3 linked regions of the Macaca fascicularis genome follow. The protein of the gene in region 1 interacts with the protein of each later gene in a pairwise test. Links are inferred from orthologs where the notes say so. Each region holds a gene or a part of one and is shown on either strand. Other genes may lie near its edges.

What was found. The genes of interacting proteins can lie anywhere in the genome.
Region 2: the proteins of SNCAIP (region 1) and PPP1CA interact in a two-hybrid assay, tested with the Homo sapiens proteins (2 studies listed by BioGRID and IntAct). The link is inferred for Macaca fascicularis from reciprocal best matches to the Homo sapiens genes SNCAIP and PPP1CA.
Region 3: the proteins of SNCAIP (region 1) and NUB1 interact in a two-hybrid assay, tested with the Homo sapiens proteins (2 studies listed by BioGRID). The link is inferred for Macaca fascicularis from reciprocal best matches to the Homo sapiens genes SNCAIP and NUB1.

What each region holds. Positions count from the first base shown.
Region 1 is NC_088380.1:128,907,391-128,911,501, reverse strand, and holds the start of SNCAIP (synphilin-1), read right to left. Parts: upstream 2,801-4,111; 5' UTR 2,716-2,800; coding exon of another isoform or gene 1,768-2,715; exon of another isoform or gene 1,433-1,767; intron 1-1,432. Other genes in the region: uncharacterized protein, read left to right, coding at 1,768-2,715. UniProt on the Homo sapiens protein: Isoform 2 inhibits the ubiquitin ligase activity of SIAH1 and inhibits proteasomal degradation of target proteins. Isoform 2 inhibits autoubiquitination and proteasomal degradation of SIAH1, and thereby increases cellular levels of SIAH.
Region 2 is NC_088388.1:6,974,742-6,978,699, forward strand, and holds the start of PPP1CA (serine/threonine-protein phosphatase PP1-alpha catalytic subunit), read left to right. Parts: upstream 1-1,158; 5' UTR 1,159-1,234; coding exon 1,235-1,289; intron 1,290-1,815; coding exon 1,816-1,947; intron 1,948-2,096; coding exon 2,097-2,327; intron 2,328-3,355; coding exon 3,356-3,460; intron 3,461-3,803; coding exon 3,804-3,958. UniProt on the Homo sapiens protein: Protein phosphatase that associates with over 200 regulatory proteins to form highly specific holoenzymes which dephosphorylate hundreds of biological targets.
Region 3 is NC_088377.1:192,622,784-192,627,045, reverse strand, and holds the start of NUB1 (NEDD8 ultimate buster 1), read right to left. Parts: upstream 2,801-4,262; 5' UTR 2,543-2,800; intron 1,894-2,542; 5' UTR 1,842-1,893; intron 1-1,841. UniProt on the Homo sapiens protein: Specific down-regulator of the NEDD8 conjugation system. Recruits NEDD8, UBD, and their conjugates to the proteasome for degradation. Isoform 1 promotes the degradation of NEDD8 more efficiently than isoform 2.

The DNA of each region.
Region 1 (4,111 bases):
TCCTTGGGAGATTTCCTCTTTTGACAAGACATGCCTTACATCTGGCAAGAAAAACAGCTCCAGGCTTTTTCTGATAATATCAAGGATCATTTGTTTGTATTAGATGTTTGTGTGGGTTTCCCTTAAGAGCAGTAAAGTACTGCTACAATTTCTTCCAAAACAATAGCACACACAGTTTCTTGGCTTGCATTTCCACTGTACACCTGCACCAGAACAACTGTCTGGAATTAGCAAAGTTGTGACAAAGTAGACAGAGAAATGCATTTGCTTTAGTCACTTCCTTTTGGATATCAACAAATGGTAACAGTCAAATTCATGAATGCAGCATCATTTCAAATCTACTATCTGTAACCTTTCGTCATGAAACGCTTGCTATGGAGAAAATGAAATTTATACTCAAAATTATACCCCTTCTTTTCAAAATCCCATTCTGTATTTTATTCTAACTGAGATGTCCAAAAGATTCTTAAGAGAAGCACTATCTTCTACTTTCTGATTCCAGACCTGTTAATGCATACATATTTAGTTATGGGTAATCCTCAGTTAATACTCCCTTTCTAGAGAGACTTCCGCGATCAGTACCAAAATACAGCACCTTTCAAATAGTCTTGAGGACTCCTTAAAGGTGTCTCCTTGTACTCTAACCATGCTGAATGTAATTTAACATTGAGATGCATTAGAAACAGCCAACAGACTTTCTCTCCCAGATGTGTACACATTAGCATACTGCTTTCCTACACCTTGTTCTTTGCCTTTTAAATTTTCAATATGTACAAATGAAATACAGATTTCAACCCATTCCCAATTGAGATGTCTGCTCCATAAAAGAAAACTAGGTTTTTCCCTTCCTGCAGATTCAGCAACGAAAGTAGTGCTTGAAAATTACGTGTTTAGAGTGACACCTTGGAGAACTGACATACTTTGCACACATGTAATCCTCATAAACCTCCCCAGACAGCCCTTATTTCATTTTGCAAACTGCACCCTGGCCAGGCTCCACGGCACGTGGTGTGTGGCGAGACTGTCCTGCAGCAGTTCTCTCTTCCTCTGGGCTCTTTGATGGGCACTTGTCAGTAACAGCCAAGAGGAATCGGACCCTGCCTCCAGCAAGTGAAAAAGGGGCACCGACAGTAATGCTTCCTTAATTAACTTTCCCAAGGAAAGCAACGTTACCACAGGAAAAAACAACACGTTTCCCCCCTCCTAGAGGTCCATTGAAAATGAGCAACAATGCTGTTGCCTTTTTGTTTCCTAAGACTTTCTTCGCTGCAAGCAGTAGCGTGTTCCTCAAAGAATGCTAGTATTTCCTGTGGAAACTGTATGGCTGCCAGTAATGGCTCATAATTTTCCCTCTTTTCTTTTCGTAAAAATGAAATAAACAAAATGTGGCCTTTGACAATAGCCAAAATTGGGTTCACCCTACTTACCACCTGCAGATGAAAGTCATCGCCAAGAGAGAAGGCCAAGAGAGAAACAGTCCCCGCTGAAATTGACGCGGACCAGCCTGGGACGCAGGACAGCATTAGAGGGAGGCTGACGGAGCCCGGGCTGGACAGGGCAGTCGGGGAGCCCGTGCTGATGAGCGAGGGGCGGCAGCAACACCAGACGTCCCTCTTCTACAGCTATTGCTACCGTTGTTAGTACCGTCGCTATTACTATTACTTCGCCCCTCCTTACCTCAGCTCTTCCGAGCCGCGGCACTGCCCATCCCTGCCTGCGATACGATCCCGGGTGGCAGCAAGAATAAGAACCACATGAGGCAGGCAAATGAAAAGAACAATCCTTTGGAAACCGAGGCGGGGGTTGTTTCCCCCTTTCCCCAGTAAAACAGCCGCTGCCGCCACCACTGTTACTATAGAGACCTCCCCCCAAACCCTTTCTGCAGAGACGCCTCTGCTGTCCCAAGCAGCCGAGACTCGCGGCACAAAGGGGGCCCCGGGCTTGGGGAGCACGGGGCGACACCCGCCAGGGTCGCCTGGTGCAAACTTGGAAAGGCTGAGCCGCCAGCTCCTCGCCCCCCGCCTCCCCGCGGGGTCCGTTTGGGACCTGGACTCACCCGGGGCGCCACGCGCGCCGGCGGCTCAGGAGCGCGAAGGGACTGACAGACCGACGGACGGACTGCGGCGGCGGGAGCAGAACAGCCTCGGCGGGAGCAGGCGAGCGGCGGAGGCGCTGCCGCGGCCCCGCTACGTCACAATGCGGCCCGGCCGCGGGCGCAGCTCCCTGGGCCCCCCAACGGGCGCGCGCGGGCGGGGGCAGCCTGGGCGGCCGCCGGCCGGAACCGGCGCTGGGGTACGCGGAACGCAGCGCGGGCGCCCGGCCGGGGACGGGGGCGCGGCCACCACTGCCACTGCCGAGGCTGCTGGGGCTGCCGCGCCCTCAGGCTGCGCTGCGCCCCTGCGGCCGCCCCCCGGCCAGCGAGCCCAGCTCAGCCTGACTGACAGTGACCCTCCCCGCTGGGCCCCCGGCCCGGCCCACGCCCCTCCCTCGCCGCTTCCTCGCCCGGGATCCCCCGGCCTGCCCGCCGGCTCCTGTTCACGAACCTGCTCTTTCTTTACCTTTCGCTCTTTTTACCTCGACTGCCGTTGCTTTTCCCCAACTGGGGCTCTCCTCTCCTCCCCGCCTACTTTTTGTCCCCGCTTCCCACTTTTCTCCTCCTGCCCCCCCTTCCTTGCTTCGCGGCCTCTCCCCCTGGAAATCGCCCCCTCACCGTGATCCAAGCGTCAACCGCTGCCATCTCATTGGTCCCCAGACCATTCCAGGGTTCCAGCATAAACCGGGAGAAGAGACTCAGGAAGGCGGGGAACGGAAGGTGGGCATGGCCCTGGGAAACTCGTGTCTGAGAAGCCTTTTGGCAGAGTATTTTGCGTTGGCACGGAGTCGTCACCCCCACCCCTCTCCCCGAAGCTCGCCCACCCCTGAGGACGTGGCCAAGGAGAGGAGGGCACGGGTGGCTTTGCCTGCCTGGAATGTTCTGTGCTCAAGTGTGGGTGGATGGAGAAGATCTTGGGCTGAAATAAAGACTTTTTAATTCAACGACGTTTCAATGTACCAATGGCCCTACAGTAATATTAACTTTACTTTTATTGTATCTTAATTGTTGAGGGATTGGGGGTGGGAGGCTGCTGGATGAGGAGTCAGCAACGCCTGCAGTGCTGACTACTTCTTTCCTTATTTCCGAAATGAAATCAGGGGTTGTGGAAGCATTTATGGTAACCTTGGCTCACGACTGTCTTGCTGTTGCCCTCTGGAAAGCTTTAAATGATCTTTGAGAAATCTCTTTCCCAGGCGAGATGACTCGGAGAAGTTCACTCAGCAAAGCCATTGAGGACCACACTCTTGTTCCAGGGTATGACTGCTTGCCTGATGCTGCCCCAGAGAAAAGCGTGAGGAAGTAAGTCTTGGTCAGTTTAGAGGCATCTTCATTCCCTTGCCAGTTCCAGAGGACAAGAGCAGTGCCAAGATCCTGGGACACCCGGCACTATCTGGGTAGTAGCAATGGGGATGTGTGATCTTGTTACAACAAAAAAGGAAGGCTCTGGTTGTTTAAAGCTGGGGTTTCCTGAATAACTAGCCTAAGACTGCCTTCAGTCTTTGTGGAGTCCACAGGCTGCGCTGTACTAGGAGGGCATAGGCAGAGTAATGCTTGCCCTGGACCTGTTTGGACCAGGACCATCGTCACTGAAATGAGGACTACCTTGAATGCCAGCGGAAGACATTTCACATGTGTCTAATTCCATTTCCTACTGAAACCTAAATGTCTTTCTTGGCTGTTGACATAAACAGCCAAGATCATGTCCTGTGCTGTTGTAATTTGTTTATTGTAATTTATCGTAAGACTTAAGTACATACATGGAAAGTGGCTTCACAATTTTAAAAATACACATTATCCCCCAGTAGAAAATATAAAATTGGATGACATCATGTGGCACTAAAAATACTTGAAAATATTGGGTTTGATTTGTTCACATCTGGTTAAAATAAAACTGCCTTTTTTTTTTTTTTTTTGCCTAGTGTAAATTTTGAGAAAAGCACATCTTGCTTTCATCCAGTAGATATGGATGGGATTGGTGTCACCCTTGACATGATCTACAGAGAACATACTTTATTT
Region 2 (3,958 bases), on another chromosome or scaffold:
CCGCCTCCCAGGTTCAAGTGATTCTCCTGCCTCAGCCTCCCCAATAGCTGAGATTACAGGCGGCTGCCATCATGCCCAGCTAACTTTTTGTATTTTTAGAGAGATGGGGTTTCACCATGTTGGCCAGGCTGGTCTTGAACTCCTGACCTCAAACGATCCTCCCACCTCAGCCTCCCAAAGCGCTGGAATTACAGGCGTGAGCCACTGCACCCAGCCATGTCTGCTCATATAGTAATTCTTTTTACGTGCACACCCTGCAATATTACTGTGCTACTCAAAAGCTAATTATGGGGCCAGGCTTGTTGGCTCACGCCTGTAACCCCCCCAGGACTTTGGGAGGTCGAGGCCAGTGGATCACTTGAGGTTAGGAGTTCAAGACCAGCCGGGCCAATATGGCGAAACCCCACCTCTGCTAAACACACAAAAACCAGGCGCAGTGGCGCGCGCCTGCAATCCCAGCTACTCCAGAGGCTGAGGCAGGAGAACCCCTTGAACCTGGGAAGCGAATGTTGCAGTGAGCCAAAGTCGCGCCACTGCACTCCAGCTTAGGCGACAAAGCAAAACTCTGTCTCAAAAAAAATAAATAAATAAAAGCTAATTATGGGACTTGTAAGAAAATATTAATTTATCATGCCCCAAGGACCAAAGTGCGCTGGAAGTTCAGCCGTAGCTGTCTTTGAGTGTGGTCAGCCGCCTGGGGGCCACGGAGACCCACGAAAAAGGGGGTCGTACGTGAATGCGAGGTCCAGGTCTTGCACCAGTCTGTTCATATCTCTTGAGCCTCAGTTTCCTTTCCTGCACTTCGAGCAGTTAACCCTCAGTGCCTAGCAGCCGGTTATTAATATGTTCACAACACCCTCCACCCAGGGCAGGGGTGGGAACGGCTGTTCTGCTTTTGAAAGAGAAAAACAACTTCCACAGTTCTTCCGGCCCCACATCCTCTGAACCGGGCTGGGCGCCTCCTCTGGGGCGTAACCAGTTGGACGCGCCCCCGACAGACCCCGCCCCCAGCCCGCCGCCAAGGCCCCGCCCCCCGGGCCGCGGCGCTTCACGTCCAGCGGGGGCGCTAGAGCGCGGGGGACCGGGCGGGGCGGGCCCGGGAGGCCCGGAGGCGGGGCCGCGGGCCGGGGGCGGACTGGGGCGGGCGGAAGGAGAGCCAGGCCGGAAGGAGGCTGCCGGAGGGCGGGAGGCAGGAGCGGGCCCGGAGCTGCTGGGCTGGAGCGGCGGCGCCGCCATGTCCGATAGCGAGAAGCTCAACCTTGACTCGATCATCGGGCGCCTGCTAGAAGGTTGGTCGCGGCGGGGGAGGCCTGCGTCCGCCGCTCCCGGGCCCCCTGCCGGGCCCGGAAGTGGCGCGCGGGCGGGCCCCCGGGGCCAGCTTAGACTGGGCGGGGACGGGCCGCGAGGTTCGGTGGCCGCAGCCGCCCCCCCGCGGACGCGCCTGAGAGGTCCTGGGCCCGCTCCGACGCGCGGAGCAGCCCCCTCTCCCGGGCCGGGGGCGCACGGGTTGCCTGGGTTCTTGAGGCGAGGGAGAAACCCGGGAAGCCCGGTCCAGGAAGGGGTCCTGCGCTGTGAGGTGTTTGGGTGGCAGCCCCCTGCGCACGACAGTCGCCTCCCGAGGCGCTGAGGGTAGTTGGGGGCTTCCCTTGGGAGGCTTGAGGCCGAGGTCCCGGGAGGCTCAGCAGCAACAGCTGCCTGCGGGCAAGGAGCAGCCGAGGAGGCCTAGGCGCCCCCGGAGGTATCCATGGGGCCACCCGTGTCGCCCACCCTCCTCCTGTCAGGGTCCCGGGTCTTGACACCCCATTGCGCCCCCAGTGCAGGGCTCGCGGCCTGGCAAGAATGTACAGCTGACAGAGAACGAGATCCGCGGCCTGTGCCTGAAATCCCGGGAGATTTTCCTGAGCCAGCCCATTCTTCTGGAGCTGGAGGCACCCCTCAAGATCTGCGGTGAGCCCCCCGACCCAGGTCCCCTTGCTTTCCTGAAAGTGGCACTGGCCCCCACAGAGTTCCTGGAGTCCTCCTCCCTTGAGCCCAGTCCTGGTCCTGGGTTCAGGTCTAGACCCTGCATCTAGCTTACCCGATTCCCTGGGTCACAGGTGATATACACGGCCAGTACTATGACCTTCTGCGACTATTTGAGTATGGCGGTTTCCCTCCGGAGAGCAACTACCTCTTTCTGGGGGACTATGTGGACAGGGGCAAGCAGTCCTTGGAGACCATCTGCCTGCTGCTGGCCTATAAGATCAAGTACCCCGAGAACTTCTTCCTGCTCCGTGGGAACCACGAGTGCGCCAGCATCAACCGCATCTACGGTTTCTACGATGAGTGTGAGTGGTCTGAGCGTCTGGGGCTGCCCGGGTCCTGAACCACACTCCTTGTCATTCAGTGGGACCTTCACATTGGCCTGATATCTGACAGACACTTGCTAAGACTGTGCACTCCACGAAGGCAGGGCCCAGGTCCGTTCTTGTGCCTGCCCTGCCCCTCCTGGCATGGGGTCTGGGGAATGGTTGCTGACTGAAGGACTGTCCGTATTCTAGTGCTTTCCCCCAGGGCCCTGCCTGGTGACGTTCCCTCTACATTTGCTACTAAGCATTTAGGATGTTTGCAGATGAGCTCTGCTGTCCAGAAGCTGAGATAAACCAGACCTGTACTTGGCCCGGCTCGTGGGCCGGGGCGTGCAAGGAGTGCCAACCCTGAGGCTGGTCCAGATTGGAACTCAGTTTCCAGTGGACTCGGGTGCTTTAGAATTACTTCTGGTGGGAGGCTGAGGCGGGAAGATCACTTGGACTCAGAAGCTCCAAGTTACAGTGAGCTATGATCTTGCCAATGCACTCCAGCCTGGGTGACTGAACAAGACCCTGTTTCTTTACTTTTTTGAGACGGAGTTTCGCTCTTGTTGCCCAGGCTGGAGTGCAGTGGTGTGATCTCAGTTCACCACAACCTCCATCTCCCGGGTTCAAGCGATTCTCCTGCCTCAGCCTCCCGAGTAGCTGGGATTACAGGCATGCGACACCACGCCTGGCTAATTTTTTTGTATTTTAGTAGAGACAGGGTTTCTCCATGTTGGTCAGGCTGGTCTTGAACTTCTGACCTCAGGTGATCTGCCTGCTTCAGCCTCCCAAAGTGCTGGGATTACAGGTGTGAGCCACCATGCCCTGCCCAGATCCTGTTTGTTTAAATTACAAATTAAAATAAAAAGTAACTAGAATTACTCCTGGAAGGCTGACAGGCGGCAGGGGTGGGGGTGGTTTGCATTGGTGCCTGACTCTCTCCCATCTGCGGCTGAATAGCCCAGAGACCCCGGCTAAGGGTGGAGCAGGCAGACCCCTCACAGCTACCTCCCTCTGGGCAGGCAAGAGACGCTACAACATCAAACTGTGGAAAACGTTCACTGACTGCTTCAACTGCCTGCCCATTGCGGCCATAGTGGACGAAAAGATCTTTTGCTGCCACGGAGGTGAGCTCTCCTTAGTTGTCATCTGGGAAGTCACTCCTTTCAGGAAGTGTCTCCCATACCCCCCTGTGCTGGGCTGCACTCACTTCCTTGATGTGCATTCTACATGGGGCGGGCTTGTCTCCTTTCTCCCAGGAGCTCTGTGCTCCGGAGGCCAGGGGCGCCTTTGTGCCTGTTTGGGAACTTGAAAAAGCTGAGGGGAAGGGGATGGCTTCTGCCTGCCTGGGCACCCAGGAGACCAGTGGAGGGACCAGGAGGGTGGTGGAAAAGTGAGGCTCACTGGCCAAGGCTTCCTGGAGGAAGGATGTCCTTGTTTGAGGAAGTGACCTTCCTTCTGGCCCTCCAGGCCTCTCCCCGGACCTGCAGTCCATGGAGCAGATTCGGCGGATCATGCGGCCCACAGACGTGCCTGACCAGGGCCTGCTGTGTGACCTGCTCTGGTCTGACCCTGACAAGGACGTGCAGGGCTGGGGCGAGAACGACCGTGGCGTCTCTTTTACT
Region 3 (4,262 bases), on another chromosome or scaffold:
GTTCAAGCCATTCTCCTGCATCAGCCTCCCTAGTCACTGGGATTACAGGTGTGCACTACCACGCCTACCCAGCTAATTTTCATATTTTTAGTAGAGATGGGATTTCGCCATGTTGGCCAGGCTGGTCTCAAATTCCTGACCTCAAGTGATCCACCACCTTGGTCTCTCAAAATGCTGGGATTACAGGTGTGAGCTTGTAAATTCTCTCATACTTTGGCTAGTTTCACATAAAACAAAAGGCCAATCATCCTGGTAGTTAAATATAAAGAAAAGCTTGCTTGAACTGTAAACTATCAATAATAAATATTTTCAGGTGGGCGTGGTAGCTCAGACCTGTAATCCCAGCACTTTGGGAGGCTGAGTTCAGGAGTTGAGATCAGGAGCTCGAGATCAGCCTGGCCAACATGGTGAAATCCCATCTCTACTAAAACAAACAAACAAACAAACAAAAAATGAACAATTAGCCGGGCGTGGTGGCAGGCACCTGTAAACCCAGCTACTCAGGAGGCTGAGGCAGGAGAATCGCTTGAATCCAGGAGGCAGAGGTTGTAGTGAGCCGAGATGGCACCACTGCACTCCAGCCTGGGCAACAGAGTGAGACTCCGTCTCAAAATAATAATAAATATATAAATATTTTCTATGTCAGAATTTTTTAAATTAAAAAGATTACAATACTAGAAAAATGTTGCATATTTTCTGATTAACAGCCTAACAGCACATCTACTATTCAAATCTAACACTGATTGGATCATTTTACAGCTGAGAAAACCAGGGCCCTGAGTTTGTGCCATGACTCAGGCAAAGACACAAAATCAGGCAGCATCAAATTGAGCGTAACTTCCACCCACAATACTGGACTCTGAACTTCTGTCGTGGAGTCCCTTGCTGCTTGCCTGTTTCAGGTATGTAACTTTTCTCTCCCAGAGAAGTACATGCCACGATGGAGCTGTCTACTTATCCCACACTAGCACAGCACTTCAAAGATGCATGTGAGGCAGCTGAGATGTGAGGCAGCTGGCAGGGGTAGCACAGCGCTTTAAGGTTTACCAAATCACACAAGCAATAAGTAAAGAAAATGTTATTAGTCCCTGAATGATGAAGACAATTCTAGAGAGTGGAAAAAATATGAGTTAATATTATTGAGATAAATTTCTTTTTTTCTATTGAGGGCCAGTATTCCACATCCCCCCAAACCCAATTCACGCAACTTTGAAATCAAGTTTGGTAGCTTGTGTATTTCATAAACAAATATTTGTTTAAAGAAAGTTCAAATCTATTTGATGTCAGTGCAGGGGACAAGAATTATGTTAATCAGGACAGAGAGGAGAAAAGAGAGGAAGGAATAACACAGCCAAGGAAGTTGATGTGTGCAACCTGGGTGGCCCATGGGAGAATCCTCCATTTTCAAGCACTGACAAACAGCTTATCACAGCAAAGCATATTAGTACTTAAAGCGTTAGCTTTTCAAACACCAATAACTTAAAAGACTACTTTACATACTACTCATGAATCTTCAGAAATTCTGAATAAAATATCACAGCAACCCTACTGTTTCCCCACTGGGGGACAGTAATTTCACAGGTTGGTTACTGGAGCCAAGCAATTTGAAAGGCTGATGCGGTACTCAAAGACGCCATCCACGGCCAGGTGCAGTGGCTCACGCCTGTAATCCCAGCACTTGGGAGGCCGAGGCCAGCGGATCACCTGAGGTCAGGAGTTCAAGACCAGCCTGCTCAACATGGTGAAACCCCGTCTCTACTAAAAAAATAAACAAATAAAAATTTTTAAAAAGATGCCATCCAAGCCACCACTTGACAGAAGGACAAAGGAGTATTACAAACCTAGTGCGTGTCAGACACTCCAGGGAGCAAACAACAGGTCCAGGGTCTACACCTAATAGGATTTAATGTTAAAAAAAATTAAACCACTATCTTGAAACTTAGGAAACTTCAGTTACAGACAACAGAGTAAGTGGTGACATATTTTAAGTTTAATAAGTCAGCTTTTAATTTTAACTGAAATGAGAACTGAAAAAGTTTCATGCATGCCATACAATGTTTCACATTGTAACCAAGAAAAGACGAAACTCATTAAAACCACTCCCTGCTCCAAACAGAAAGTGAAACGTTATAACGATCCTTTAAAAATTTCACTTTCACTTTTGTAATGAATCAATCAATGCTACCTTTAGCCACAGTTTTTCAACTATACATTATATACAGTTGAAGCACAACTATATCTAGTCAAGACACATTCATTTTTTCTTACGAAAATATGTAGGAAAATGAAAGATTCTTGATTAAAAATAAAAGGGAAGGAGGTGAGAGTAATAGAATCAGGTCGTCAAGGTTCGAGAAAATCAAGTGTCTCGTCATTAAATAGCAAAGAAAATCTGGCTTTGATTGCAAATAAATCCCAAATGGTATACTCGGAGTAAGTGTTACGATTCAAGTATAGCATTTGGCTAATTTTTTATAGATATATTTATTCCTTTCTCTCCCCAAATCAATACACTCAACATTTTCTTTTAAATACCCCACACCTGTGCCTAACTCAGCGCAAACCAAAGGGCCCCGAAGGGCCAGCGCGTCCCGAAGCCCGACCCGCCGCTCCCGGCCCCGGCCCAGCTTCACGCATGGCCGCTGACCCCAGCCCCGCGGCCGCTCCACCCCCGTCAGGAGAGGTGCCCAGTCGGACCGGGAACCGGGGCGCCGAGCAGCGCTGCTGAGACTGGGGTCGGGGACACTCGGCCGCCGGGTCCTCACCTGCGCCACGCCGCGCCCGCTGCGACCAACAGAGTGCCCGGATGCGCCGGCGGCCGCCGTTTGTTTTCATTCCGGGTGAGGCCAGCCCCGCCCCCGCCACCGCTGCTGCCGCCGCCGCCGCCGCCGCCGCCGCCGTAGCCGCCGCTTGGAAGGAGGGTTGTGGGCGGGGCCAAGGCGAAGCCAGTCGTGGGCGGGGATACGGTCGTGTGGGCGTGGTTACCGCGGGGCGGAGCCGCGACGGGGGAGCTAAATGGAGGCGGGGCTGGGCGAGAATGTGGCCGTGTGGGGCGAGGACCTGGGAGTTGGTGTCCGACGCCGCCCCAGGCTCAGGCTTCCAGGACCTCCCGCCCGGGCCCAGTTTGCCAGCCATCAAGAGGAAATGGATCCTGGCTTTGTTTCTCCAAAATCCTTGAAAGAGGCTGGGGGAAGGGTCGGGACCGTCCCAACCCACATCTCATCCCTCAGCCTAGGCTGGACCCCCTCCCTAAACCAGCGGCTTTTCACCCCGCCCTCCACAATCCCACGAGGGGCTTCCCTGGGGTGAAATTAGGCTGCTTCCCGGGAATTTCCTCCCCCATGCTGTCCACGGCCACTAGGGACTACAAAACCTAGGGAGCTCTGCCTGCTTTCAAGGCCCCATTCCCAAGGCTGTGCTCAACAGTGACGCTTCTATTTTATTATCAGTTATTGCTGTTAATCTCTTACTGTGCCTAACAAATTAAACTTTATCGCAGGTATGTATGCATGTATAGGAAAAATGCAGTGTGTGTGTGTATATATATATTTGTGTGTGTGTATATGTATATGTGTGTATATATATAGTGTGTGTGTGTATATATCTATACATGGGTGCAGTACTATCCGAGGTTTCAGGCATCTACTGTGGGTCTTGGGACATACCACCTGTGTGTGGGTAAGAGGGGACTGCTGTAACCTTGCAGTGACCAATCCGCTTTTCGTTCCCTGTTTCTGCTTTCTTTAGGCCTTTTCTACCTATAAAACCCACCTCCTCTGCCCAGCTCATTGGAGTACCGTTTCTAAATTTTTAGAGAAGATGCCATCCTGATTCGTGAATCAATAAAAGCCAATAGATCTTTAATCTAAATCTGTGGAAATTTTGACTTCTGACAAAGAGGTATTAAATAACTGTATAACCGCATCAGACCAATCTGATTCACCTTTTATATACCCAAGTTGTGAGTTGTTTTTCAGTTGCATGGACTCCCAGAAGGAAGGTTTCACACGTAAGCTGAGGATGCCCAGATGAGCCGAGCATGCAACCGGGGCGGAACCTGAGTGCTCAAATCAAAGCAGGGACTGAATTAAGAGATGGGCACTGCATGGTGAGATCCAGAATGCAATCAGATCAAGCCCTGGCATCACCCCATGGCAGGGTCCAGTCAGATGAGCATCCCAGCATCACCTCATCGCAAAATCTAATCAGATCATGTGTCATTACCGTATGCTTATAAAACCCAGCTCAAGGAGACAGAGTTG